Daphnia pulex: one gene and its partners. The protein of the gene in region 1 interacts with the protein of each later gene in a pairwise test. Links are inferred from orthologs where the notes say so. Each region holds a gene or a part of one and is shown on either strand. Other genes may lie near its edges. The genes, in order: histone acetyltransferase KAT2A-like, transcriptional adapter 2-alpha-like and transcriptional adapter 2-beta-like.

Evidence for each region.
Region 2: the proteins of histone acetyltransferase KAT2A-like (region 1) and transcriptional adapter 2-alpha-like interact in a two-hybrid assay, tested with the Drosophila melanogaster proteins (2 studies listed by BioGRID). The link is inferred for Daphnia pulex from reciprocal best matches to the Drosophila melanogaster genes Gcn5 and Ada2a.
Region 3: the proteins of histone acetyltransferase KAT2A-like (region 1) and transcriptional adapter 2-beta-like interact in a two-hybrid assay, tested with the Drosophila melanogaster proteins (4 studies listed by BioGRID). The link is inferred for Daphnia pulex from reciprocal best matches to the Drosophila melanogaster genes Gcn5 and Ada2b.

What each region holds. Positions count from the first base shown.
Region 1 is NC_060028.1:7,762,034-7,772,190, reverse strand, and holds histone acetyltransferase KAT2A-like, read left to right. Parts: upstream 1-4,516; 5' UTR 4,517-4,704; coding exon 4,705-4,869; intron 4,870-4,984; coding exon 4,985-5,263; intron 5,264-5,344; coding exon 5,345-5,482; intron 5,483-5,537; coding exon 5,538-5,671; intron 5,672-5,742; coding exon 5,743-6,035; intron 6,036-6,101; coding exon 6,102-6,192; intron 6,193-6,254; coding exon 6,255-6,399; intron 6,400-6,469; coding exon 6,470-6,675; intron 6,676-6,745; coding exon 6,746-6,966; intron 6,967-7,024; coding exon 7,025-7,185; intron 7,186-7,255; coding exon 7,256-7,477; intron 7,478-7,537; coding exon 7,538-7,628; intron 7,629-7,688; coding exon 7,689-7,882; 3' UTR 7,883-7,972; downstream 7,973-10,157. Other genes in the region: thyroid receptor-interacting protein 6-like, read left to right, coding at 1-243, 1,783-2,092, 2,408-2,577, 2,662-2,840, 2,906-3,026, 3,091-3,222; centromere protein S-like, read right to left, coding at 3,574-3,720, 3,782-3,848, 3,918-4,075, 4,133-4,147; Golgi pH regulator-like, read right to left, coding at 8,044-8,259, 8,338-8,589, 8,663-8,741, 8,808-8,910, 8,972-9,174, 9,276-9,510, 9,578-9,684, 9,748-9,911 and 1 more.
Region 2 is NC_060028.1:9,039,038-9,048,407, reverse strand, and holds the end of transcriptional adapter 2-alpha-like, read left to right. Parts: intron 1-3,900; exon of another isoform or gene 3,901-3,905; 5' UTR 3,906-4,035; coding exon 4,036-4,093; intron 4,094-4,267; coding exon 4,268-5,643; 3' UTR 5,644-5,746; downstream 5,747-9,370. UniProt on the Drosophila melanogaster protein: Component of the histone acetyltransferase (HAT) complex ATAC; predominantly involved in acetylation of histone H4, including at Lys-6 (H4K5ac) and Lys-13 (H4K12ac).
Region 3 is NC_060026.1:11,478,422-11,488,582, forward strand, and holds transcriptional adapter 2-beta-like, read left to right. Parts: upstream 1-3,840; 5' UTR 3,841-3,914; coding exon 3,915-3,921; intron 3,922-3,994; coding exon 3,995-4,092; intron 4,093-4,236; coding exon 4,237-4,296; intron 4,297-4,354; coding exon 4,355-4,511; intron 4,512-4,574; coding exon 4,575-4,813; intron 4,814-4,879; coding exon 4,880-5,121; intron 5,122-5,188; coding exon 5,189-5,420; intron 5,421-5,660; coding exon 5,661-5,716; intron 5,717-5,897; coding exon 5,898-6,141; intron 6,142-6,212; coding exon 6,213-6,275; intron 6,276-6,339; coding exon 6,340-6,441; 3' UTR 6,442-6,503; downstream 6,504-10,161. Other genes in the region: cyclin-dependent kinase 1-like, read left to right, coding at 975-1,023, 1,089-1,384, 1,445-1,600, 1,663-1,826, 1,895-2,147; eukaryotic translation initiation factor 3 subunit F-like, read right to left, coding at 2,431-2,514, 2,578-2,828, 2,887-2,978, 3,046-3,334, 3,507-3,615. UniProt on the Drosophila melanogaster protein: Component of several Gcn5-containing histone acetyltransferase complexes that regulate nucleosome organization; involved in acetylation of histone H3, particularly on Lys-10 (H3K9ac) and Lys-15 (H3K14ac).

The DNA of each region.
Region 1 (10,157 bases):
CCTCCCGCCTTCGCTTCCTGTGACAACGACGTAGATTTGCCTCTGCCTCCGCCACCGCTGCCCTCGGATCTGTCGGGCTACTACGGCAGCAACAGTGACCATCTGCATCTATTCCCCACGCCGTCTTCCACTGAGGAAGTGACGTCACCTCCGTCTCCGGTTAGCTCGAGCTATTCCGAGTTGCGGAGGGCTGGTTGCGGATCGACAACAGGATCAACCAGCAACTACGCTCCTTTATCGCAGGTCCAGTATCTTCTCTCTTAGTCACGCATTCACTGATGTATACAACTCTTTTGTATTCTCGTAATCTCTGATAACAAATTAACACTGAAATGTTTCCCCAACTCACTTCCCTTGGCCTCACGTTGTTGCCTTAAATAGCGGTGGACAGACTCGCCTAACCGATCGGAATAACGAGTTGCCGTCAAGGTCGCTAGAGTGTTTTCGCTTTTTTCTCTCTCTCACTGGCCGACCTTGGTTTATACGGAGTGATGGTTGTTGTTTATCTTCCTTCATATTTTTCTTATTTTCCTCAATCTAAAAAGAAATGCTAAATTTTTCACTCTAGAGGCGGAGCGTTTTTGGCTCATGACTGCCAAAAGTTTGGCTTGATTCGCACCACACTTGGTCGAAGGTGATTCATGGTGTTTCGTGCGGATGGATTGCGTCATTTAGCTCGAGTAGTAAATCTGTGACCTGATTAACCCAAATAAAAATGAAGGCTCCTCAACTGATCAACGTTTGCATCTCTGAAGACGATTGAAAAAGAAACAACATCGAGTGTGTTGACAGTTGGCCGCGCCAACCGACGTTTCATATAAATCGCTCGCTTCAGCAAACCAGCAGCAGCTTGAGCTATAAATAATTTAGGCGGTCAAAAACGGGAGTTGCTTTTTGAAAAAAAAGTTCTGGGACAGCGGGTGGGCAAACTGCTTTTTGGCTTCATGTTTTCCGACCTCCGCCTTTTTACGAAGGTAAATACTGGCCAGGTAGAAACTGAACTGACGGAATGAATATTTGTTTCTTCTCTTATTGGAAAGGTTTTTCTTTTTCTTTTTAATGCTTTATATCTGGGATTTTTTCTTTTTTACGAGTTATTCTTTTCAAATTTGCCCGATGACGGATTTCTAGCTTGTTCCTTGAGCCACAGCTATTGAGTGTGTTGCTCTTGGACTATGTCCCGAAAATGGTTGCCTCGAATGGTAGCGTGAATAGTCAGTTTGTGAATTCTCTCTATCTCACCTCCCATCAAGGAATGGGCCCATAGTCCGAATGCACACACAAAAAGAAAACGAGTATTAAGAAAGAAGGGGGGGGGGGAGAGAGACTGGGCTCAGCGCGACTTATATGGCAGCGAAAGTTGGAGCTCTGCGTGCCGCGTTGAGGTGGTGGTGGGAGGGACAGAAAGAGAGGAGGAGTTGGGCGCATCTAGAGGTTTTTCCCGTAGTAACGACGAGCCAAGATCCGTGCGCTGCTTGCATGTTTCCCGCACTTGATTACGTCAAAGCTCCCTCTCTCGTGAGCGTGTCACCTTTTTGGCTCAGTGGTTTGGCACGCGGATTTCAGACTACTTGTTGCTAGAAACGGCTCCTCGCTCCTTATCTCATTCAGTCACCCTCCAATTTGTTCCAGTTGATTCCCCCCCAACGATTCGGATATCAAAACACCTGTGCCTGTTGTTTCCACGCCTGTTGGTATCACTCGTGTTGTTCCAGGATGATTTCAAACTGTAGGGTGCTAATGTTTTATTGTTTTGAATCTATTTGGTGATGGGGTATATAGGCGTCCAACTACGAGTCGCTGTACGAGCCGATTCAACCACGACCTCATCATCAACACAGTCCCGCTGGCAGCATGTCGAGCTTGACTCGCCCGTCGCACTACACGACGTCTGCCTATCCGCCTTACGGCGGTAGCAGTAGCAGTACCACCTACGGTGGCGGATCTGCGGCCGGTGGATCTGCGGCTACCCTGAAACCCCAAGCCAGTCACGCCAAGGGAGCCACTTCGCCAGTTCAAGAGGAAGAAGTGGATGCGCTCACCAATTTGCTCGTCCAGTCTATGGATAATGCCGCCGACCCAGAGTTCTTTGGTTAGTAAATTCGTCTAGCTCTAAAGTGAAGTGCGTACGATTGAAATTTCAACATCTTGGTTCACAAGTGGCTCTCCTCCACTTTGATTGGTGCTTTTGCCATTTTCTAAAAAAGAAAGAGAGACGATCTTGTTGATTTGGGCAAAAAGGCAAGAGAGAAAGAACCTATTGGGAGCATAAATATCCGTCAAGGACGTTGATATATTTATTTTTTCCTCTTTCGGCTTTATGCCCGGCCTGGCCTTTGCTGTTTATACACAACACACACACACACACACACACTCACGCTGCTTTTCTTCTGAACGTCGTGCGCAGGAATGTGTGCCGATTGCGGTTTGAAGGTCGTGGGTGAAGGCTCTGGTTGCACGGCCATGGACCGTGTGTTCCACATAGCCTGTTTTACCTGTCGTGTCTGCAATTGCCGTCTGCAAGGAAAGCCGTTCTATGCGGTCGATGGCGAACCCCATTGTCAAGAATGTTACATGGTAAATTAAAAGGAAAAGAAAAAAAACAGATTTGAAATGGTGTCAGTTTCTAACCCTTGACTCCCTTTTCTGACGGACAAATAGAATAGCCTAGAGAAATGCTGTGTTTGCTCCGAGCCGATCCTCGACCGCATCTTACGTGCCACAGGAAAACCTTACCATCCCCAGTGTTTCACCTGCATTGTTTGTCTACTCTGTTTGGACGGCATTCCTTTCACGGTTGATGCCGCCAACCGGATTCACTGCATTGACGATTTCCACAAGTACGATTGTTATTTCTTGTTTCTTGACGAACCTTCGTTAAAAATACTATAATATTTGGTTTTAGGAAATTCGCTCCGCGCTGCTCTGTTTGTCACGATCCCATCATGCCAGAGCCTGGACAGGAAGAAACTGTTCGTGTTGTCGCTCTGGATCGGAGCTTTCACGTACAATGTTACAAATGCGAGGTAACTTGGCATATATTTACTTTTCTAATTGTCAACATCCTAACATGGTTTTTTGGGATATTAGGACTGCGATTTAGTTCTATCGTCGGAAGCTGAAGGGCGCGGTTGTTACCCGTTGGATGGGCGTGTCCTGTGTAAATCCTGCAATGCCATAAGAGTCAATGCGTTGACTTCCACCACTTCGACCGAGCTTTAAAGAAAATATTTCACGTTTTAGAAGACAAATGGAAGGGAAACTAAACAAGGAAAATGTGTCGGTGACTTTTAAAAAAATATATTTCCGCTATGTAACTCTGTATTAAATGACGAGTGCCTGACGACAGGACACAATTAAACGACATTCGACCATTTATTTGGTAGCCATAAAAAAAATAATAATCGGTTGGAATTTCTACGCCTCTTAATATGTATTCGGTGTTTCTATTTGCGGCGATTTAGAAGCGTCGTTTATTTTAATTATTTTTGATGTTCCGCATACCACATAATCCTCCCAAACGCACAAAACGACTGTCTTCCCTGATGTAGAACAATACAGCTTAGATCATAGTCATGTGAACATGTCATCATCATCTGTGTCCAGAGTCACTTCTGGTGGAACAGTCTCGATTTTCTTCTTCTTCACCAATGCTTTCCCCTTGTCTATTTTTGCATTATCCTCTGAGTTGGTTGATCCTAGTGTTTCTACTATGGCTTTCTGTAATAATTTTTCAATGGACTCAATTGGCTTCTCACAATGTTTTTACTTGAATACTTACTAAATCTTCATTCCTTCGAACCAGCAGCTTCACATCATCTCCATTGATTGTTGTGCGCTTTCCATGCCTCAATAAACAAATGTAAATAACAATGCATACATCTTATTTTAACATAAGCGATCAAGAAAATTAATACTTGGCAAAAGCTTCCAAATCTTGTGTAACCAGCTTGATCTTTTGCCAGACAATTTCATTTATTGTTGCTATCACATGCTTGTCAAAACTAATGTGAGTTCTAGCTTCCTGTTCTTCACACATTTTACCCACGGTAAAATGCAATGACGCTTTCAGCCGCTGTAAGTAAAAACGAAAATTATGTGCGATTCATGGTCTGCTAATAGATTTGCTTACTTCTTCGTGATCCATATTTACATCCAGGTTATTCCCCCATACAATTACACAGGAAAGTACACCTGAAGTTTAGTCCTTCAAGAAACAGATTTCGTAAACAGGGTAAATTTTTTAAATCTTCAGACGTAAATTCATAATTTCTTATGTTGTTGACTTGTTGTTAAGTGAAGTTGGAGTCAAACATCAGTGTCGGATTTTTTCAAATCGTATTTTAAAAGGCGATTTTCTTCACTTGTTTTTTTCGACAGTTTTTTAGTTTCTCACTTGCTGTCTTATGTCAAGTTTAAATTTTAAAAAATCTTTTCTTCATAAAATTAATTTTTATGTTTCGTTTTTCCGTTCCCAAAAACATAAGGATAAAGGTAAATGTGGCAATCTTGCGCCACCGGGGGTAAACAAAAATTTTCGCGACGCGCCTGGATTTCTGCTAGAAATCCCCGTAATTCCCCTAATTGCGTACTTCTGAGTTCAGTTAGTATATTTATGACGTTCACTAAAAGTGATGTACAACTACAAGAAAGGATATCAGATTTTGGTTTCCCGTGAATTTCAAGAATAAAAACATTTCCAATATGACTGACACTTCTAACCCAGTTGCGGCAAATAACAACTCAGCTGCTGGCGTTGGTACGAATCGTATGAACAACATTCAAAAAATTCAACTGCGGAAGCAGCAGGTTCGTGAATGGCCACATCCTAAGAAATTGGAAAAGCTAGCTGTTTATTCAAGTTGCAAGGTGGGTTTTCATTTTCAATGTTCTATAATGAACATGCTTTATTTCTTAAGATTATTTTTATTTTTATAATGAAGAACCACTTAACTGAGACATTTCTCCATAATTATTTTTTCAGTTTGATGAAAATTGCAAATGCAATGGATGGAAAAATCCTACTACACCACCAAATGTCAACAATACAGGAATAAATGTGGTTCTTCCATCAGCAAATTTAACTGATCCATGCCGCAGTTGTTCACATAACCTTTCAGATCATGTATCTCACTTGATAAATTCCAGTAATGAAGAACTAAACCAACTTTTAAGTCTGGTAGTGGACATAGAAAATTTATTTGTCTGTGTTAACAAGGAAGAAGATCCAGACAACAAACAAGTCTACTTTTGCCTTTTTAAAGTAATAACATTTGAAATCATTTTAGTGAAACAAGTATTATAAAAATGTTTTCTTAAATTTTCTTATTTTTTTGGAATATAGCTCTTGAGGAAATGTATAATGCAGATGACAAAACCAGTTGTAGAAGGGCCTTTAGGCTCTCCACCCTTTGAAAAACTAAGTATTAGCAAGGGTGTTACTAATTTTGTCATGTTCAAATACAGTCAACAAATCCCCAAGGTAAGAAATCAAAGTTATCCTTTAAAACATTAAATTAAATTTATTGTGTTCATAGGAGTTTCAAAAAATGTGTGATCTTGCCAAAATGTTTATCCACTGTTTAAATCACTGGAAATTGGAAACCCCTACTCAGTGGAAACAACATTATCCACAAGCTGACCTCTCCGTGTATCGAATTAGTTACACGAGGTAAACCTATTTTCAGTTTAAATTAGCTTTTGAAATTTTATTTTTAACTTAAAAATATTACACTCTGGCAGGTGGTTATGCTATTGCAATGTTCCGAGCTATTGCGACTCCCTACCGCAATATGAAACTAGTGCTATTTTTGGTCGGTCCTTTCTTCGACTGGTCTATTCCACCGTGCAGCGACAGCTCATGGATCGTTTCTTAGCCGAGAAAGACCGACTGCCACCCGAACGACGGGATATGATCATAAATAATTTTCCGAAGTTCTTGGCAGACATGGAAATGGAACTAGGAAATGATGCATCGCCTGTGTGGGATCCGTCGTATGTTCATCGACTCCCAAATCAACAGGAGAACATCAAAGGTATTTATTTCATTGCTTTCCAACTTATTAATGTTTAATCTAATTCTTGATAATTCTTGATATTAGAGGAAAATGTAACCCAGTCCAGCAACGAAGCAACCTTCCATCGTTTGACAAACAGCGGGATTGTCAGATCAATTTCCAAAGATGTAGAAAAGTAATGTCGAAACTTCATGTCCACCCTATGTCTACATGGAAATAATTTTCAATTTTAATTAGGAACTTGTTAAAGCGGCAAGTTGACAGCGAACCTAGTGTGGAAGGTGATGCGAAAAGGGTACGTTTGGATCATGACATATCTGAAGAAACTGTCGCCACAATTCTTGCCGTAATTAATGACCCCAAAAAGATGCTTGGTCCCGAAGTAAGCCAACAAATTTCTTACGTGTAAAGAATTAAGCTCTTCTAAACAGAGCTTTATTTTGGTTTTCCAGAGCGTCTTCCCAGAAAATGCACCAAGAGACGAAGCGGCAAAACAGGAAGAACGTCGTGGTTTGATATCCTTTCACGTAGTGGGAAATTCTCTTACTCAGACCGTATCCAAACAAACCATGTCATGGTTGGTTGGGTTACAAAATGTTTTTTCGCATCAATTACCACGAATGCCGAAAGAATACATCACACGGTTGGTTTTCGATTGGTGAGTCCTAAATTTTGTCTCTTATACTTTAAATCACCAAAGTTACAAATGTTATCCAATTTACGTGTAGCAAGCATCGGACTTTGGCGTTGATCAAAGATGGTCGACCAATCGGTGGTATCTGTTTTCGAATGTTCCCCATCCAAGGTTTCACCGAGATCGTATTCTGTGCCGTTACCTCCTCAGAGCAGGTTAAAGGGTACGGAACTCACTTGATGAATCACATTAAGGATTACCATATCAAACACAATGTACTTCACTTTCTTACCTTTGCCGACGAATACGCCATTGGTGAGCAAACAAAATTTTTTATTTTCAAATAATTTTCCTAATGCAGTGTGATGTGCAGGTTATTTCAAGAAACAAGGGTTTAGTAAAGAAATAAAGCTTCCAAAGTCCGTTTATAACGGTTACATCAAGGACTACGAAGGAGCAACTCTAATGGGATGCGAGTTAAATCCCCGTATTATTTACACAGAGTTTACCGCAATCATTCGAAAGCAGAAAGAGGTCTTACCCAGATTTAATATCCAACATTATTGTTCCTTTCTTAATTGTTTTTTTTTTTTTTAATTTTTAGATTGTCAAACATCTAATTGAAATGAAGCAGCAAGAAATTAGCCAAGTTCATCCAGGTCTCAATTGCTTTAAAGATGGTGTTCGAGAGATTCCTATTGACAGTATTCCCGGACTGAAATTGACGGGCTGGCGACCATCCAATGGCTACGGATCTAAGCGTCTAATCGAAGAGACTTTTGATGCAGAGCAATTATATCAAGCTTTACGTTCGGTTCTCAATCAGGTTTGGTTGCTTTAATTTTTATGAAAAGAAGAAAACATGTTATTCCATTTTTCTATATAGGTGAGAAGTCATGCCTCTTCCTGGCCCTTCTTGAAACCTGTTGATCGAGCGGAAGTACCAGATTATTACGACCACATCAAATTTCCGATGGGTAAGTTTACAATTGTGTTCAATTGATTAACGTTCCGATGTTAATTTAGTTTCATTGTAGATTTGAAGACCATGGGGGATCGATTAAAAAATCGTTACTACATCCATCGGAAGCTCTTCATGGCGGACATTTCACGCATGTTTTCCAATTGTCGCCACTATAATGAGGCTGACACGGAATATTGCAAGTGCGCCAACGCACTCGAAAAATACTATATAGCGAAAATGAAAGATGCTGGGCTTTGGGATAAATGAAGCTGACGTTCGAATAAGAAGTTAAATGTTGACACAAGTATTTATATTACATGCACTCAATCGACGACAAATAAAATAAATATCAAGCAATATGAGAAACAAGCTGAGAAAAATTTTCATTGCATCACCTGTTTGGCTTAGTTTTCATTTCAAGAATTGAATTAATAGTTATTCAGTTTACTGTCTGCTGAGGGAGCTTGTTTGTGAGCGAGATAAAGAAAAGCAATAGATGACAGAGCACTGACAAGAAAGATAACGTCAAACCATCGATGATAGAAAGAAAACTGCAGATCTCCAAGCACTTGAGTGATGATGGTACGATACTCGGCAGGCATGTTCATGCGCATTAGTAAAACAGATGATACGAAATACATTCCCTTAAAAATTGACAAAAAGCAAGAAAACTTTGATCATTTCAATTACAGAAAAACTAACATATAAAGTAATATAGTTACCATAATTTGGGCGAGAAGTAAAACAATGACGTTGGATGACTTGCTGCTTGAGATTGCGTAGAAAAATTTGGTTAGGGTTAAAAGTAACCCCCTAATAGAAGTAACGACAATGCATCCGACCAACAAAAAAGAAACATGTTGAGACCAAAAGTTAAAGTCGATCGACAATCCAACCCAATGTACGGCAATCTCAAGACCGCGCGTCACTGGATCTACTCGACCAACTCGATCAAACACAATGTTAATAGTACTCTGTTAATTAAAAACGAGATTATACAAGATTTCTTAAAATTCTGTCATTAAAATTTGATAGGGCAATACTTACAATAAAAATCTTCCACATGCAGTATATTGAGAAAAAATAACCAAGGAAGTTAAAGTACTTTCCTTGCCATGTTGTAGACCTGAAATAATAAAGAGAAAATGAGGATTGCACCTTTAGAAATATCACACAAAACCTAATGTTTTACCACTCTAGCCTGTCTTCCATTGTATGAAGATCAACAGCTTCTACAAAAAGTTGACGACTAAGCTCTTCTAGAGCTAAAACTTCAGATTTTAAAGACGATAAATCTAGTAATAAATTTAGAAGTTTAATTAAAATAGCTCTTCTTCTTGAATCCCAAAATCTTACTTTCGGAACTACTGACTCGAACAGAAGCTACACTTTTCAACATAGACCAAACTCCGAGAGTGCTGGTCTCTTTAGTGTTTCTATTCTTTTGACTTCGGGAGTCTCTTTCCATGAGAGCGATTCGCTTTTTCTTAACAACGATCATGTCCATAGTTTGCATCAGTTTCCTTTCCACTATCTGAATGTCAGTGTGAGTAACTGGTCTATAATAAATAATTATGTTGAAATTAGATTATATAATAGGACAGCATTTTCACTACAGTGGGAGATTAGCCTAGAGAAGCATATGTTTGATAAAGTTTACCTCATAAATACTGCCATGGAAGTGTATGGATAATTCACAGCACCAAAGCCAGAAAGAAGGGCCATTACTGTGACACCAATAATACCTATGCGAGAGATGCCTTGTTCCATTGAGAGCAAACGGAGACTCCTCTTAGAACTGCTTATTACTGGAAAGGGATCACCAACTTTCCAGAATAGGTATAGATAGATAACCCAAACTATCAGGGACAAAATTTTGACAAGACCTTTCCTGACTAGTAAACCAACAGAATATGTAATATCTGTATGTAGAAAGATTACAGGGATATATATGGTACTTACCAAAACGAATATTTGAGAGCACAAAGTATCCAATATAAAACGGTATAATTACAATCACAAATACTAGCATTGTGTATAGCACCACATTCCAGCATATGAAGCGATAGCTAAAAATATTTGCAATCATTATTAGTATGATTTATGAAGTTAGAAAGATGAAATTATAATACCTGGCATCTAATATCCCTAGAATTTCAAAAATAATAAGTTCAAACATAATGCAAGAAAGAGCAAATGTTACTGAAAATATTAATTGAACGGTATGGTGATGAACTTCATAGTCCCTGAAGAGTTGTTTCATAAAAAAAACCCATCCACCGGCAAAAAAAATTATCTATCGAGAACCAGAATAAAAGACGCATTCTTAGTTAAAATTTGAAGAGACAAACGCATGACAACATAACCACAACTTATTACCACTGAAAGGGTAATCGCGATTGTATCTTCCACGACGTTCATTTTTCCCGACTTTTTGACAATTTGTCTTTTGTAGACGATGTTTTGAAAGTAAACCCCAAGGGGCTAAACCAGCTATAGCTGTATACGCGCATGCGATGTCAATTGTTTTTTAAGTGTGAGA
Region 2 (9,370 bases), about 1.3 Mb from region 1:
CGACAATCAGACTCAAATGTATACGTATTATAAGGACGATTATGCGGAGGAGGAGGAGGTGATTGGACGCCATGGCTTTTATTTTATTTTATATTTTTTTCTATTCTGTCCCTTTTCCCTTTGTTAAATAAATATTTTCTCCGAAACGGCGACTCCACCCCATTCGTCGAATATCAAATCAAGAAATGATTTCTTTTTTTTTTTGTTTTTAATTTTCTACCGGCTATCAGGACGCAATTAATAAATTCAACGGAATCAATCCAGTTGGGAAGCCAAATTGTCTTGAGAATTTGGCGTTTCTTTCGTTCCTGGAAAATATAAATAAAAATAAATTCAAACCGATCACATAATCGATCATAATGGCGAACAAATGTTTTTGCGGAGCTGAGATATGAGGTCAGACGAAAAACATGTCAACTTGAAACGTCTGCCGCCATTTTACGACCACCTCCTCCTCCTGTAATAGTTATTGAGATCAATCGACCCCGCCAGCAATGAGCTGTAAATAATGGGGCGTCCATTCACTTTGGCTGCGGTCAGAGAAGCAGCAGCACACTGGCGTGTGTTATGTCACCCCTTTTTCTTTTCGTGTGTGTGTTCCCCCCACCTTGGGTGCATCTCCCAATAGGGGAGCGGCGGTCTCTCTAAATCAAATGAGGAGGATATCAAGGAGGAGGAGGGATAAAAACGATTAAGATGGATCGGCGTCGTTTTTCGGCGACGCTTTACGACACTTTGGCTCTCACGCCTTCTCTCTATACCTTCATATACTATTAAATGTCTATTATAGACGTGACGTGCGGGAGCGATGCAAGTGAATAAGGTTCTTATATCTTCTCCGGGTTGTTATGGGTGGGAACGACGCCATTTTTTTGACGGCCGGAATTCTTCCCTTTTATTTGACGTAACATATTTCTCAGTCGCATCGTAGAAATGGCCGCGCTCAAAGTTTTCTTGTTGGTCAACAAATGGATTGGGTCGTTAGATGTATGGAGGCGGAGCGATCGATCGATCGATGGGAGAAAGTGAACCAGAAATGAATATTCTCCGGAAGAAGAAGAAGACGAACTGATTGGGTGTGTGTATCCATCCGGCGGATCAAAGCCGAGTGTATAGAGAGCAACAGTCTTTCATCAGCCGGAGGCCATGCACCCGCATGTGATACTCAGTAGGCCGGCGGCTCTCTCCATTGTTGAGCTTGTTTTCCCAGCTGATTGAAACCGGCTGTTTTTTGCACAGGGTTAGACACATGTGTACATTCAACTTGGCCTTTAGTTGCGTCTATAGCGCACTCCTTCATTTCTCAATTTTCATCTCCTTTTGGCTCACAGGCCAGCAGCAGTTCTCCACTGTATAATATCGATGCTGCTGCTGCTGTTACCGCCCAGCACCCGCGACCAATCAATACTACTAGACGGCAGTTTCAGCGTGTATGTGTGTGTCTATATATACGGACGGCTCGGGTTTTTTTTTTTCACGCAAGGGGAGTCTATATAGCCAATATATACTATCTGGCACGCGGGTTGGAAGGGCTTTATTCCGAACGAGTGGCCTGCTGGCGTTGAACGCGAACGTGAGCGAGTAAATAATAAACTCGCGCCCGAATCTCTTCTCCTATTGCTTGTTATTGTGCTGTGTGTGTGTGTGTATACCTGCGTCTCGCCCGCAAGTGTGTGATGGCACCTCCGTCGGTGTGTTACATCCGATTGCACGAGATTACGAAAAAAAAATAAAAGGAAATTCCAAACCCAATGATAATATCAATAATAAAAGCAGTCTCAGGCATTTGAGCGGGATGACGTCAACGCTGCTCTCTATCTGTTTGAAAACACGCCAATCAGAGTCGCCGGGCGTCGTTCGGGAAAAAGAAGTTTCAAGGAAGAGATAGAGCAGGAGGAGATGTGTGTGTGTGTGTATGTTCGGGTTGAAGGAAACTTCCGTTGTCAGCTTACTATTACGTACATGAAGATTCTTTTGACTTTTGCTCCTCCCATCTGCAATGGATGGATTCATTGATCCGGCCAGTAGAAAAAGTAGGTGAACTTGTTACTCGCAGAATTTTCCAATAACAACCGAATAGGCAACTAAAGTTATGTCAATTATTTCTCGTGTAATATCTTTGACCGATTTCTCTTGATTTCCGACTCGGAAAGACATAACAAAACTTGGGTCTCGGGGCTTATAAGGCACGTTCTCTTTTTTTTTTCCTTCCGCTTTGGCTCCGCGGTGGGTTTTATTGTCGGAGAAGAAGACCCTGCTGGATGCTGAGCCCCAATATATTATTATTATTATTATTATTACGATGGGGAGGAGGGGCGAATAATCCGTACAAAATAGTTGCCATTATTATGGCCGACTGCTGTTGCGGAAGACGGAAGAACGGAGAGATTAAGCCGCCAAGCGGAATTCTTTGATTGTTATTATTAAAACGCTTGTCGATCGGTTTGGCTCACGGCAAAGTGGGCGGGGTCCTTCAATTAATGAATTTATTTTCGATCGCTTTCTTTTATATTGTCCTAAATTGGGAAACATTTAAAATGTAAAAATCGATGGATTGGGATTTTTTTATTGTTCCCCAAATTCTCACGTGAGGCGGATGAAAATGGCGTCGCGAATGGAGCTCCATTAGCTTTTTCTATTGGATAATCATCTAGAACGAGGAGCTGGGGTTTATATAGATGTTACTAATTAGTTCAGAAATGCACAGGATGTCCAGGCAGGATCGCTGGTAGCAGAGAGAGAATACCGAACTTTTGGCCAGCGCGAAATGCGGATTACCAGACACTCACAATCATCCTTTAATAACATAGAGATTACGTGATGGAAAAGAGGAGCTAGAGCAGAGGGACGAACGTGAACGAACGCCGCAAGGATTACAAGTTTAGGGTGGATGATTCCGCCACCACCACAGCAACCCCCTACCATCCGTTCTAATATATAGTCAGCCCAACAGGTGCCCCTCCCTTTATTTTGTGTGTGTGTGTTGAGGGGGTCTATACACACGGTAAATAGACGTACACTAGGTAAAACTTGTTCTGCCAGCTCCTCTTTGAGTGTAAAGTTTTCTCCGCAACCGGAAATGTTGCGCAAAGTGCATTTTTGGGGAGAGGGGGGGTCGGAGTGAAAGTTTATGCGGAAGGGCCTTTTCTTCTATTATAAAAGTATTCCGACTACAATAATCCTTCGTATTTTATTTCATCGTCGTTTGCTCCTTTTCTCTCCCTTAAGTTTTACTTCGACGTCTTTATGCAAGAATAATCCGGCAGTCTTCCTCATCTTCTTGAAAATAACTTGGAACGTAGTTCTCTCTGTCATTAATCATGTACGACGTATTACATTGTGTAATATAGGGAATTCTTCGTTGCCTACTCTAATCAATTAATAATCCTACTTTCTCCTTCATATTTCCTGTACGCCCATCTTTTTGCCCGGCATTTTTGTCTATTCCGCTCTTAATCAATTATTACGTTCCTGAGCCAACACTTATTGATGGCGGGAGTCGGTAGAAAACCTTTTAATTATGAACCATGCAGGCCCCCGTGTTCTTAAATATTCGTATATAATCATTCAGGCTGGCTGGTTGGTTGTGCTGCATCGCTCGCTGCCATCTGTTTTATTCATTTGGCTGGCATTAACCATTCCGATGATTCGCCGAGGTGGTGCCGTGCAGGACTGCCGGATGTTGGAGATTACGAAATCTCTAGCGCCTTGTTCGTGCTCAGACTTGTGTGCGGTTTTGAGCGAAAAAATTATGTTTTAAAAACAACTTCCTGGAAATGAAGAGAAATCCAACAAACGTGGACTAGGGCACTAGGCCACACTCTTTTGCACAATGATTTGTGTAACGTTTTTGGGACTCCAATTAGTATTAATTTATTCGTTTTGATTTTTGTCTGATAGTCTAGGTCAAATCCGGCTGGGAAAAACTGGTACAAAATTGCCAAATGAATATTTTTCGAAAAATGAAATTTTCAACGAAAATCACAACAGCAAGTCTGGCAACGTCGTTACACTTTACTCTAATATCATTTGAAAATGGCGGCCGCCACAGAGATCAGTGACGAAGATGCCGCTGTTTTGCAGTTCCCAAAAGGTAAAAAGAACTATAATTTCCTACCCAGTTTACGGTTTTGAGCTTCCCTGTGTTAGGCTTGATATGTTTTCATAAAGGGATTTACAGTTATTACAGTTAATTGCTGTTAGGCTAGACCTGGCTAAGAACTGCACGTTTCGTGAACGTTTAATTCATTTGCAACGAATTTCTTAGAAATGTCGACTGATGAACCATGTGGAAATGTGTGGCCGGCGACAGATTGTTCCCAGACTCGAGTGTGTTTCATTTGTCAGACCCCTCTGACTGGAGTTTACATCAGGTGCGAGGAGTGTGTCAGAGTGGACTTGTGCCCAACGTGCTTTGCCAAGGGAAAGGAAAGCAATCACCATTTGAACAATCACAGCTACAGGGTCATACGAGATGATTTCTACCTCTTTGACAACTGGACTGCTCGGGAAGAACTCACTTTGCTGGATCAGTTGTCTACGCATGGGCCATCAAATTGGACGGAGGTTGCCAAACGCTCCAAAGCCAGTCCTGAAGAATGTGCAAACCACTATAACAAGTGGTACCTTGAAGACCCAGTGGAACCTCTACCAAGACCGAAAAGTCCAGAGAGACTGTACAGGCCTCAGCCTATCGTCTACAGAACCGGAACTCACGACCCCCCTAGGCCTGTTCCTGGATCAGTTTACCACAGAGACATGGCCGGTTACTGTGCTGCTCGAGGAGATTTCCAAGTGGAAGCCTTCCAGAATGCAGAATTTGACGTGGCGTCGTTACAGGATGAAACGAAACCCGATCCCGACGAAGAAATCGACCAAGAGGCTTTAGAACTCGAACGTGCATTGGCCGTGGCCGTGGTGCAAGTGTACAACGACAAGTTGCGCGAGAGATTTCGAAAGAAACGTATCGTCCAGGAACACGGGTTGATCAATTTTCATCGTCATTTGGCGGCTCGTTATCGCTACGACTCTACGCTGACACATCGCATTTGTGAGCGTCTCTCGGTGTTTTCCCAGGTGTTCAAATTTCAAGACCACTGCAGTCTCTTTGAAGGCTTGCACGGACATGTCGAGTTGCGGCAGCGAATCCAGCAGCTGCAAAGGTACCGCCACTTGGGGATCAAGACTCTGGCGTCGGCCAAAATCTACACGCAGCTTCAGGCTCGTCGTGAGAAGCACATGAAGCAGTGGAAGCAGTTTTCGGCCAACCTTCACGTGGCGTTCCCCGTCCAGCAGCAGCACCAACAGTTGGTGACCTCAGCCCTGCTTCAAGGAAGCAACGGCAACGTTCTAGTCAGCCCGGCTGGCCCTTTCCCACAGCAGCGAAGGAGCGCACCGCCGCTGGACATTGTCGGTCTGCCCGGTTACGACAAATTGAACGAAGGCGAACGTCAGTTGTGCTCCGTTTCACGTCTCGTTCCCGAGTCGTACATGGAATTTCGAAACATTCTCATCGCCGAGTGCCGCAACCGCAAAGGCATTCGGCTGGCTCAGGCCAGGACGTTGATCAAGATTGATGTGAACAAGACGCGCAAGATCTTTGATTTCCTCCTAGAAGAGAAACTAATCTACTTCCCCGCTTGATTTATGGCACCACTTGTTATAATAATGTTTTGTACAGGGGGCAGAGAGACTGAGAGAGAGAGGGGAAGAGGAGATGAGCAATAAACTTGCGTTATACAGTCAAGCCTCATGTCGTTTTAGCGTGTTGAAATCATCTCGAATTACCTGTTATATATATATATATATAGATATATAGATGTGTGGGCTTGTAGTCATGGGAAGCTCATGCAGGTTTGTTTTCTTAGATCAGCAGGAAAAGAAAGAAAAAGAGTCGACAAACGAGTGGGCACTAGTTTAGTAGTTTGCACAGTGAACCATCCCTTAATGCGGTTTCATTCTTCTGTCTCCATTCCACATCATTACAGAGTTCGAGAATGCGGAAACATTGCTGATATCTGAAGTCCACATGTTGCTGGACCATCGTAAATTACAGAATGAAAGCGCAGAGGACGAGCAGGAACTGTCGGAAGTCTTTATGAAGACGCTTAATTACACTCAGCGCTTTAGCAAGTTCAAGAATCGTGAGACTATCGCCGCCATTCGCAGGTTGATGCTCTTGAAAGTTTGATTTGTTTGTTTGTTTTTTCCCGGAATGAATCAATGACTTCATTCCCAACTTTTTCCTTACTTTTGTTTTTTCTTTCTTTCTTCTTGAACTCCAGTTTGCTGATGCAGAAAAAATTGCACAAATTCGAACTGGCAGCTCTGGCTAATTTGTGCCCGGAAAGCCCTGAAGAGGCCAAATCTCTCATTCCCAGGTACATCCAACCGTCACTGATATCTTAATTGATTTTTATAACGAAAGACTTGTTTGATTTCCCGCAGTCTTGAAGGCCGATTTGAAGACGAAGAACTCCGACAGATTCTGGAAGATATTCAAACCAAGCGAAGCTTCCAATATTGAACACGGTCGACCAACCCATGTCAGGCAAATGCACTTGAAATTCCTCATATTTTATTCTTTTTTTTCTCCTTTGGTCACAATACAGATTTTCCTTTTCATCCTTTTTCGTGATTTTCCATCCCAGGGATGGGCGCAGTCGAGAGTGATGCACACACTTGTGCGGCAAAGCGTAGGACGAGAGAGCCTTTAGTTAACGATAGCGAGGCATTTGGGTTGGCCTTCACTTAAAAGCTCTTGATTGAATTTACTGGCGGATGCAGTTGCTGAGGTCCTATATTTTTCTTTGCTCCTTTGCCCTATACTATCTTGTATTCTTCGTGGATCTGGTTATTTATTAGACAGTCGGTTGCTATGCGACCACAGACTCCCAGCTAAATTATTAGGAAAATGTTGTTGGAGCCAAAAGCTGATCGATAATCGTCGTGGCTTATTTGAAAGATAAGAGAGAGAAGAAAAAAGTCTCGTGCACCATAAGATCATATTAAAAACCAGAAAAAAGAAAGAGACGAGGATCCACTTACACGTGGACCGTGTGTACACCAGGGTAATGAGATCGATTTCCACGGCAAAGGATTTTGATGGAAAAAAACTGCATTCGACTCTCTTGCCTTGTACTACCTTCCACCACGTTTTAATTAGATTTGATACCACGAGGTGTACGAGCTGCGCTCATCCTGGCGGTTCATCCACTCAGATGATTAGATACCTCAGAAGACGGAGAGAGAAAATCTGGTGACTTGGAATAAAGCCAACCTCCGTTGCCCGTGTCGGTTAGTGTCTGTTTTGATGTCAGATAATTTGTTAGTGTTGCCGAGCAAAGTTTGAGTCTTGAGATGCTAAGAATAAATGACAGATACGGACTGTAAACGACGTATACACGTAACTGTTAAAAGGAAAGTAAAAGAACTTTACTTTTCTTTCTCCGACTCGGACAAAATCTGGTCTGATGCCCTTACAATCAAGACTGTGCACACCGTCTCTCAAACATTGTCTGGTCTTATCGGAGACTAGAAAGAAACTTTAATAAAGAGTTTCTTCATGCAGAATGGAAAATTGGATCTCGACATCACAAGAGTTTCCCTTTTTTTTCATTTCCGATTCGTCTTCTCCTTTGGTATATACAAACAAGTAAACTTTATTGAACTGAAAGTCATTTTTTTCCCCATTTGAAACTAAATTTTTTATTCTTTCCAAGGCTTTTGATGGTGATTCATTCCGTCACCCTTTTATTATCGTCTAGCTGAATTACCGTCGAAAAAAAACCGAATGGCACATTTGATTGCCTGATGCTACCAATCGACCATATATTTGCGCTCCCAAATCGCTAAATGTGTCCTATTCATTGAAATTAATCGAGGTTCCTTTCTAGTGGCGCCGGCTTAGTCCTTGGTAAAAGTATCGACTTGGAAATGAAAAGTGCAATGCCGAATGCCATGGAAAGATTTATGGGCCACCTACTTAGATATCAGTCACGCTCGTATACGCTGCAATTTCCATCGTGATGGCACCGATGAGCTCTCGTTTATTTCCCAAATGCGTTCCTTTTCCCTAGACGACCCAGCATCAACGACACCAGTATATATACTGCACTTGTATTCACCGTAATTTATCATCCAGTTTGCCTTCCAATTATGTCGTTCTTCTCGTCTGTCTTTCAACTAGAGCTCTCAAGGTTTTTTTTTAATATATATAACTGAACCCATTAAATGGATGGAAGTAGTTGCTCATGGTCGCAATTTATATTCTTCTCGTGCAATAACCTGTAAAACCAGGTGAAACCTCATTGGAGACCAGCAGCATCGGCTGTATCAAAAGGCATTAAATATTTTCTACGTCTAATAGAATTCCGAAGAATTTTCCATTTGGATTTGTTAAATAACTTAAACCGAGAGGCGTGCGTCTTGAGCATAAGGAAATGTGTCACCAATTATTTATTTCTTATCACTGAAATATTTGGGGACCGTTGAATGACTCAATGAAAATAATGAGGAATTCTAGCAATAGCTAGAATTCATGCTTGGCTAATCACGTGATGAGTTAGATAAGTTATATAACAACGAAAAATTAGGCACTATAAGAAATGCCTCCCCGTTTATTTGTTACAGTGTTCTACGAAGCGAGTTATATAGAAGAATCATATTGATTTTCCGTTCTTCACATGAATACATCAGTCGTTTAAACGCAGTGATAAATAAAAAATCGATTCACAAGTCAACTTTCTATTTTAACGAAAAGTCGACTTAAACTATTTCTAGAACTCGAGAAACTGTAAGTTGGTTCGATTTATTTATTTTGTAATTCTCGAAAGTTATTGGGAAAGCCCCTAGACGTTTGTGTTTTCTAAGCTAATTTTGCTATTGTATTTTTGCTATCTAGTTGTTGTTGAAAACAACTTAACAACTTGAAGCTTCAAAGAACTTTAACTAGACCTACAGTACAGTTCATAGATTTAAATAGGAAAAAGCGTGAATATTAGGTTACCGCCAAGGTCGCCCGATAGATGACTTCTTCTCCGACTCCCGAGGGAAAGTTTGTTTACATTGAATGGTACTAGCGGTTTACCGTTTTGTCCATATCTATGTTCACGCGTCATCAGTTCGCGATAGGCTACTATTCTCTGTTATCATGGCAAACTATATCACGTAGCAAACTAAACTTTGATTTAAAATCAAATTCGTGAAAACTCTAGTGCATATCTTTTATTCACATGAAAGGTAGGTTCAGAAACACAAACATGTGGACATTGTAGGTTAGAAGACGGCTGAACAGCGTAGGCTGTACCCTTAATACGAAACCACTGACGAAACAAACTAGTTCAAAATATTTAACTTTTGTTGTAGGACT
Region 3 (10,161 bases), on another chromosome or scaffold:
CACATGTTCTGCTACCTCACTGAAATTCGGAGGAAGAGTAAATTAAATTGTTTGATCTGTTTTAAGTGTTCTTTTCTAAATTTTTAAGAGTTTTCACAATTTTAGTAAGATATTTTCGAAAATTACATGTCGGAAATTATAGAAGATTTTTTTACCTGCTTGCACGGCTTTCTTAAAAATAATACTTGACCATTCCTGCATTACGGCTTGCCTTGCGGGTAACAATGTTTTTAGAAATTATTTTGTGCTGAAATTTTGAGCTGAAATATTTTCTAGTCTACCGGTAAAAATGTTTCGATTATAGTGGTAATAAACAGTTCATTTAAAATATAATGATATTTAAAAATAATATCGATAATGTTAATGAGTTTTTCAAACTTGTATAAGTTGTATGGGTTTTTATTCATTCATAATACTAGCGTCATTCGAACTAATAGACAATTATAACTTGAAATCACCAGCGGGAATTTGTTATTTTAATTTGAGTTTTAATTCAAAACCTTAAAAAAGTTTAAAAGAACTATAACAAATTCGAAATCGTATAGTAGGTTCGTCAAATACATCCATTTTGTCCAATGGGTTTCTGATTATCACCCATAGAGGGCCGTGATTCTGTGAAGTGATGAAGTCGTTTCAAAATTTGGCGGTTACATTCCTTAGTCCAACGGCCGCCACCGTCTCTTTGACATCCAAGTGTGCTCACCTTTTCCTTTAAAGTCGAGTCTGTGGAAACACGTTGGGTACGAACTTTCTTTACTTTGTTAGATTATTCTCTGTTTATCGTGTAACGAAATATTTTATGCAAGAGTCTTACGAATCAATTGATGACAATCTGATTTGCAGGTGGAATACGAAGAATACGTCACTCCAGTTTTTGTTTGCTGCCATTCGACTTCAAATTTCCGTTACTTTCCCGAGATTTCAATTCTTCACACTTTTTGGTTTTTGTTCTTGTTTCTTAACAAACAATAGTGATGCCTTCTGCAATGGAAGACTTTACCAAAATAGAAAAGATCGGTGAAGGTAATGATCCCTGGTACACTAAGCTGTGTAACTTGAACTGATTTTAAAACTTTTGTTTCGCAAAGGTACTTATGGTGTTGTCTACAAGGCTAAAAACCGTAAGACTCAACAATTTGTTGCCATGAAGAAAATCAGGCTTGAAAATGAAGATGATGGTGTTCCTTCGACAGCCATCAGGGAGATATCACTTTTGAAAGAGCTGCTACATCCCAATATCGTCTGTCTGGAGGATGTTTTGATGCAAGAAGGAAAGCTGTATTTAATTTTTGAGTTCCTGTCAATGGACCTTAAAAAGTACATGGACAGCATTCCAACTGGGCAGTTGATGGATAAAACTCTTGTTAAGTCTTATTGCCACCAGGTTTGCTTAGAAGATTTAGGACTCATTTATATATTGGCCTGATTTATATTTTCCCTCTAGATTTTGGAAGGCATTTTATATTGTCATAGACGTCGAGTTTTGCATAGAGATTTGAAGCCCCAGAACTTACTCATCGATAAAAACGGAATTATTAAGATAGCTGATTTCGGTCTTGGGCGCGTATTTGGAGTTCCCGTTCGTGTCTACACTCACGAGGTAAAGGAAAGAAGGTTCCCAATGCATGGACGTATACTATAAATTCTTTTGAACTCACGAAGGTTGTTACTCTATGGTACCGTGCTCCTGAAGTATTGCTTGGGTCATCAAGATATTCGTGCCCCATAGACGTGTGGTCGGTTGGCTGTATTATGGCTGAAATGATAACGAAAAAGCCATTGTTCCAAGGAGATTCGGAAATTGATCAGCTTTACCGTATTTTCCGGTAGTGTTACTTGTCCTTTTTTTTTTATTTTTAAAATTACATTTGTTCCTATTTTATTTGAAACACAGAGTAATGAAGACGCCCACGGAGGAAATGTGGCCAGGCGTTTCAAAAATGCCCGACTATAAACCTACTTTCCCTAATTGGAATACTTACCACCTTCAAAATTCCGTGAAGCAACTTGACTCGATTGGATTTGATCTGCTTCAAAAAACTCTCATTTACGATCCAGCCCTTCGTATCACGGCTCAGGATGCTTTAGATCATGCTTGGTTTACCGATCTGGATAAATCTATCTTACCCACCAATGTGCCTGCTTAATTAAGCATTCCTCATGTAAACGATAGCTACTAAACCTGGCCAACTTCCTGATGGTCGTTTCTTGAAATTCTGTTTTTCGCTTTTCCTAATCATCATTTTTTTTGCTCTCTGAGAGAAGATGGGTGTGATTCTTTTCCTTGGTAGCGAAGAAATTTTCTTCCCCCTTGTGTACGTGTGACTGTATACTATAGTTTCCTAATAAATATGCTCACGAGGACTACATCAGAAAATTGTAATTTAATTGGGAGATGTTCATTTTTATTTTTTATATCAACGTTCTGAATTAAATTGTCAACAATGTGAGTTTTTCGTTCAGCGACAGTTGAGTCTTGGTAAGTTGTGATAGATATAATACCATCAATAAATCCTAAATTAATAAAGTTTTACAAAAATTAGATTAAATAAGTAAATATTGGGTAATGTTTTCTACCTTTCGGTTTGAATTAAGCATCTCTTCAAATTCGTCGGGTGTCATTTTAGGTACCGAATGAACCATATCTAATAGAGAACGACCAAACGTGTTGTCAGCCGTTTTGGAGCCACTCATTACGTCGTCAACATAAGCCAAGATAGTGTCCAGCATGTTTTCCATCTGCTGCGAGGCTTCAACAATCTGAGTAAGATCCGAAGCGATGCCCGCTTGACGTTTAACCGAGGTTTTGGTTTTCTGGCAGGCATTTACTGAAAAACAATCAAAGATTAATTCCCAGTATACATACACATTTTCTATTATAATTACATCCAATAGTTTCTGGGTCATAGCATGCTATCTCAACAGAAACAGGAGCAAACATGCATCCCATAGTTTTGCCTGTGATACCCATTGGGACACTAGATGATAATTTAAAGATAATTATTTTTCAAAGCAATTGTATCATACTGAATTAATAGCATGTACCTGACATAAGCTTTGATTCCCATACGGGTATCTTGCAATGTGGTGTCCACTGTAATGTGAACAGGATTGGAGGACTCTCTGGAGTAGTACTCATGAATAAGAGCAGAGTGAGATGTGACTCCAGTACCAGTTGCCCACCAACCTACAATGCTTTCTTGGGGATTAACTTTACGATGCAAGTCATACATATCCTTGGCAAAGTCCAATTCCACAGCCACTTCTTCTTCTGATTCATTGTGAGGCACACAAAAGCAATTGGTCACTTCCACACCATTTTTATCTGATGTGCCTGGAAAAAATCAATATGAAAAATGAGTTATCACAACTTCGATTTCGCATATTATAGGAATTTAGGTATATAATCCAAAGATTTTGTCAGGTACTCGATACCGATACACGTGTCAACAGTCGAAAAAACAATAAAACGCGAAAGCAAACGGATGATCTAAATTGTATGTTACCAAGCAACGTTCCAATTACTCTCTGTGCATCAGGATTACGACGCTCATAAGAGTCAATAATCTGAAATAATACAACAGGATGCAACTTGACAGTCAGATTGAGAGCCATTTTGCGTGACTTTTTTTGCAGACCACTACCGCATTGGAGCTGAAAAAGCCGACACGAACTAGTTGCCAATTGGTGATATATAATACGTTGAATTATTTCTATTTACCAAACACGTCTCGTTATACATTAAAAAAAATTTAATTTAATAAAATGTACGGTGTACATTGTTTATAAATTTTACACGTCATTTTAATTATTTTTTAAAGACTTCTCACTTCTCAGTCACCAGAGGGCGCGACCAATGCTTTCGCTAGCGTTGGCATAGCTTAGTTGTTCTTGATGGGAAGGGAAGGCTAAAGATGGCGGGTAAAAAAAAATGCTCTCGTTGAATCCTTATTTTCGAAAATTGAAAATCTTTCTTTCTGTATCCATTCCTCAGATTTATTTATGAAGCATCGATGTGGCTACTGTCAGGACGACATCCTTGGCATTCGAATCCGATGTAACGTTTGTGTCGATTACGAACTTTGTTTACAGGTGTGGTATAAAATCTTCGTTGAATGAATCCCTCCCCTTCCTTCTTTGTTGTTTGTTATGACGCCCACCGGAGTGGTATTGCCGGTTGGTCGGCGGCGAATTTGAATTATTTTAATAACACAGTTTTGCAATGTTTCTTTCTAGTGTTTCTCTCTTGGCTGTGAAATTGGACCACATAAAAGTAGTCATGGATATAGATTAATAGTGAGTATTTAAGTTTTTCTATCAAACTCTCAATAAATACTTTATTTTTAATTTCTAGGATCCTGGTACTTTTAGTATTTTTCCTGACCAACAAAGGGAGGATGAAGGTGGCTGGATTGCAAGGGAAGACTATCAGTTACTTGATGCAATAGAACAGTTTGGTTATGGAAATTGGGAAGATGTTGCGAAACATGTAGAAACACGGGATTCAGAAAGTAATTGTTGATTTTTATCAGGATTTTATCATCAGTTACTCTCCAATTATGTTTTTTTTACAGAATGCAAAGAACAGTACTGTGATAGATTTGTCACAGGAACAATAGGTAAACTAACATGGCAAGGGCTTCCAAATGGACTTCTCGCAAGTGGAGAGTCTCGCTTGGCAGCAATTGATCACACTTGTCCAGATAATGCACCTCTATCTCCATCCATCACATCACGACTACCACCTTTAGCTATTCAACCTGAAGAAACATTAGAACTTGGATACATGCCTCAAAGAGATGATTTTGAAAGGGTGGGTCTTAATTTGTCATGAAACAAATTGTCTTAAAAACTTCAACATTATTTTTATTTTTTGTAGGAACATGACAATGAAGCTGAGGCAATTGTTTCTCATCTTGCCATTAATCATGACGACGAGGATATTGATTTGGCTCTAAAACTGGCTCAAGTCGATATGTATACTCGCCGCCTGAGGGAAAGAGCCCGAAGGAAGCGGGTTGCTCGGGATTTTCAACTGGTATCCCAATTTTTTAACGCTATCAAGAAAGAGAAGGAAAAACCTACGACTGCCGCAAAAAAAAGGGAGTCCCAAAAGGAAAAGTAATTCATGTTTCAATTAGTTAACTATAGATTCATTACAAACAGTTACATTTTTTTCCTTGTACAGAGAAACGCAAGAAAAATTTCGTTCGTTTTCCCAATTCCACACGGCACCTGAGCATGAGCAATTCTTACGCAATCTAACTAAAGAGAGAGCTTTGCGATTGCGGATTCGAGAACTAATCAAATACCGTAGGAATGGATTAACTCGACATGAGGAATGTACTGAATATGAACGACTGCGATACTTCCGTGAAAGAAAGAAAGAAGCCCGGTTGGAGCGCCAGCGCCGGAAATCCGTAAGCAATTTTCCCAGTCTGTACTATTGCTTGCATAGTTTCGTCAAGCGATAGTAAGAGTGTGCGACTGGTTTATTTACCTGTTAATACTTCGTTGAAATGAATCATTATTGGTGGTGTCCATTGGTTGAATATTCGATTTTATTTTTTTACTTATGTGTCTTTATTTTAAGTATCTTACAAGCTAGTTAAATTAGAACCCAAAAAAGACTGGAAATTGAACAATAGACTTTAACGTAGGGAAGCAGTGGACCGGGGCCGATTGTACAAAACCCTGGGACACTACACAAGTCAGAGTAAGCTTTATTATTTCCCCTTTTTTACATACTATGTGCAGTTTAACTCATCAGTTACCTGTGATAGCTTTGCATTATATTACGAAATCTCAACTATATTTCTTAGTTCTTAGAATTGTTAAGTAAATTCGTGGCTTATGTATGTAACTTGTTTTTTTTGTTTTTTTTTTTTTTTTCGCAGCAACGCAAGGGAAGAAGTGCTACTTTCAAGCTTTCGAGACGCAAAAGTCACCTCCTTCGGCAGCAACAACAACAGCAGCGTCCTCAGCGTTTCAAGCAGTCTGCCTCGACTCGGGCCCGTACTCTCCGCTAATACCCGACTTTCACAGTCAGAATGGCAGGAGGCAGTTGCTAATTTCCTCGCCAAGAGCGACGATCTCACTTTATGTCCCGGTTCAGAACTGCTCAGTCCTGCTGAAAAGCAAGTCAGTGAAACGATTATTATAATTATTATTTTTAAAGTTTTATCCAATAATTGTTTTCCTTTAAATCTCAGATTTGCCAAAATCTACGTTTGAGACCATTGTACTATACGTCATTGAAGGCCAATCTCATATTGGTAAGTCGAATCATTCACTCTCTTGATTTATTCACTTGAAATAAAATACAAATCTTTTTCTCAGAGTGGGACCGACAAGACTCCGCTCCTACCCGGCCTGGCTGCTGACGAGCAGTCTATGATTGTAAATTATTTTACGAAAGCCGGTTTTCTGTCTGTCGAGTGAAAACAGCAATTTTGTGTTGAAAAAATATGTGTCTTTTTTGAATAAAGTTCAACTGTTTTTTTTTAAACGAATTTCCAATATTCATTTCATTTTAGTTTTGATAGATTAGTTAAATTTTACGAATAATTTTGAGTATATTAATATAATTTGCATGATAAACCTTTTTTGTTTGATCAGATAAAAGATCACCTGATTTTTTCATCTTAATAAGAACAAAGTGCAACGTGAGGTGGCGGCCACCTATCAGTATGGTTACTGGACTCGACTGGACTCAATCTCAATGTTAGATCGCGGTCTTAGATTCAGAGTCTAAGAGAGGTAGAACTGGGGAGGCTTAGTCGGAGAAGGGTGAGGGGAAGTGGGAAGGTGAGTCACTAAGGAGATCGCTAAAATCTACAATTCTTTGCACGCTACTATCCGGCTGACCACCAATATGAATGAAAATTACAACTCTGACTCAAATTTTTACTCTGAATCAAAATTTGAAATCAGATTAAGTCTATTATGAACATACGCATGTATAATTAACTGCAAAAGAATTTTATTTTCACGCATGTCGGTACAACCTAAAGGCTAAATCTCAGTTTCTTTGAAACAATAAAAATTCTTCTTAGAATACCCGGGAACGAATGAATAATTTCACAAATTAAAAAACCTTAACCTTGTATAGCTATAAAATAGCTTTAAATGAATTAATTGTGAATAAATCAGAATAAATAAATTTCGGGAAGCCACCACCAGCCGTAGAAAGCACATTGAACAAAAAGCGGAACACACTGGCACGCCAGCTGAAATCTCAGTTTCTTTGAAAATAATAATCATTATTCTAATAATACCCAGGAATGAACAAATAACTTCGTAAATAAAAAAAACTATACTTAATATAGCTGTAAAATAGGTTTAAATGAAAGAATTGTAAATAAAATCTAATAAATAAATGTCGGGAAGCCACCGCCGCAGTCGCATTGGATGCCACCGTGGGGGTATGGCAAAAGTCGGACCGTACTGGCGAATGCCGTAGATTACTTTGTTGTAGCGTGCTGGCACGCCAGCAAGCGCCATTTGACGTTGCGTGCTGGCGCGCCAGCTGAGACCAGGTTGTACCCATTGCGTGCAAGAGAGACCACTCTCTTATCTCTATTCCTCTGACATAGCTGCCTAACTCTCCTTTACCTTGTAGGTTATATTGGCAAGAGCGCCTTAGGGTGCTTGAGCTGTTGCTAGAGGGCACCGGTGTTTCCCACTTTTACCCTTACTGCTGAAAGTAAAATTACAATATCTTATTGATTAGTTAATTTTACTTAGATTTATCTAAACAGTTAGAATCAGCGAAAAAAACTGAATATTTTTGATATTTTTTATTTATTTTTTCATGAAAATACCCACCCGAGACCCGACTAGCTTTAACACGGCGAGATAGGCGAAGAGTCCCGTCCTTAAGTAAAGTAGTCCATCACGATATAATAGGAAAGGTACACTTTCGCGCTACCCCAGTCTCTTGGAAGAAACGGCGGGTGTTCAGTGAAGGGACGACACGACACTGTAGCACAACAATCAATTTCATTTGGTAATGGATGGAATTAAAATGCGAAAAATAGATTTTTGGTTATAGCGCTGGCATGATAATGAAGATGGACATGGTTCAAGTCTCATTATAGATTTACTTTTTTTTTGAATAAAAATATTGTTTTGACCCATGCCCTTTGTTAACCATGACTCAGACAAATCAAAATTTCGCGATAGAATTTTTTTTCACAAAATTTCATAGAAAAAACATTGAATTTATATAAAAATTTGGAAAAATTAGGAAGGCATTTAGCAAAAAGTTCGACTTAACAATAGGCCCTGAATTTTTCATTTAAGACAGTTTTCAACCGGCTTACGACTATCCCTTCGCGGCGAGCTGAAAAGCTTGCTTTTCTATCTTATTATAAAATAGAATAAACAAAATTATGTAATAAAAAATACATTTGATTTGATTTTTCGGTGCAAATTTCAAAAAATTGTGAATTTCAATCACAAAATAAACATATAAAAAATTGCCTAATCTAGATGAATTAGGTATTTAAGGATAGGGAATCACATAAAACTTAAACTAAATCAATTTCTGGACACATTGATTGGTAATTTTACAGATAACGAACGAAAAACCCCTATTTTTACTATACCCCCGAGAGGCGATAAGCTTGAAAGACTAGCGAACTCGGCGGGGAATCTTGGGACCCTTCACTGAACACCCGCCGGTCTTGGGGATAGCCGAGAGTGTACCTTTCCTATTATATCGTGGTCTAATGGTCAGCATCCCGGGTTGGCATGCATGATACACGCATGTTAAATGTAAAAGACTATAGCTTTTTCATAAAAAAGGGATTTATTCCTTTTTTAATGTTCCGTTATTGGGAAAATAACAAAAAATAATATTGATTTATTCATCTTTGATAAGTCATTTATCCCTGAGGTATATTTATATACGAAGGTCCTTAACAATATAGGGTGTGGGGTATAGGGGGTAGTAGTAGGAAAATGTGTCGAAATGGGGGTATCACGAAAATCGTGATATCTCAAACATATCAAAGAATTATAAAAAATCCTTTTGGATTCTGAAAGAGGGATGAAAGGGCTACATTTTGTAACAATTAGTTTTTTTTTACAAGCCGAATATACGGCTAAAAGCGATGTAGTCGGACGTGGAGACTTTGGGTTTTCGTGATATTTCACGATTTTCAACCGTGATTATCTCGTGAACGGGAAAAGATAAAAATCCGGACTTAATTCCGTTGGAATCGCCTTGCGATTCTGAACAGATTAGACCTAGTCCGGATTTGTAAAGTTCTTTTCCGGATTACGATCCGAAAAGTACCCCCACCATTTCGGTCCGGTTGAGTGGGAGATCGCTTGTTAAGAGGAATTTTTCAAAAATTACAAACTTAGTTTTCCTTTCCGACTTGATCGAGATTCGAACCCCGAACCATGCGAATGGCAGCCTGGGTTGATGACCATTAGACCTATTTATTTATATTATTGAAAGGGAAAAATTGAGTATGATGGTAGCTCGCTATCTATTAGCCAAGACTCATGTCATGCAACATGTGACCGCATGATATAATTGTATTGTTATTATAGTAATAAGTGTTACTTTAACTTAATCTAAACATGAAGTGCGACGTGGGGTAGCGGGGCGAAGCCTCCGCCACACCTAAGTCGCACCACTCATAATATTGACAGATTATTAGTCAATTAGTCAATTAGTTAATAAGAATCAAATCATTTAAGAGAATAAAGGGAAAAAAAATTTTCGAAAAAAATAATAGTATGTATACTATTTACTTTCTACTATTTAACCTTAATTTTCTGTCTCTTTAACGTTTAAAAAAATTCCCGAAGGACATTACCGAAGGAATCTTGTTGGGAAAACAACAAAACAATTTAACAGCCACCTTGTCGCAACAAAAAAGTACTAATCTAATATTATACCAATATGTGGGTTATCGACCGAAGAATATTATCGGAAAAAAATATTTTTCCATTACGGGACTTGACTAACAACACAGCTGTTGGTGTAGTGATTATAGTGTTAGATTGGTGACTCAATGTAAGATGGTTCATACCCACTCTCGGAAAAGAACAAGGCAGTACTTAAAATAGAATCCTTTCTAATTACAAGTTGGAAATGAATAAATAGACCACGCTGGACTATAAAACCATAAACACAACAACCGG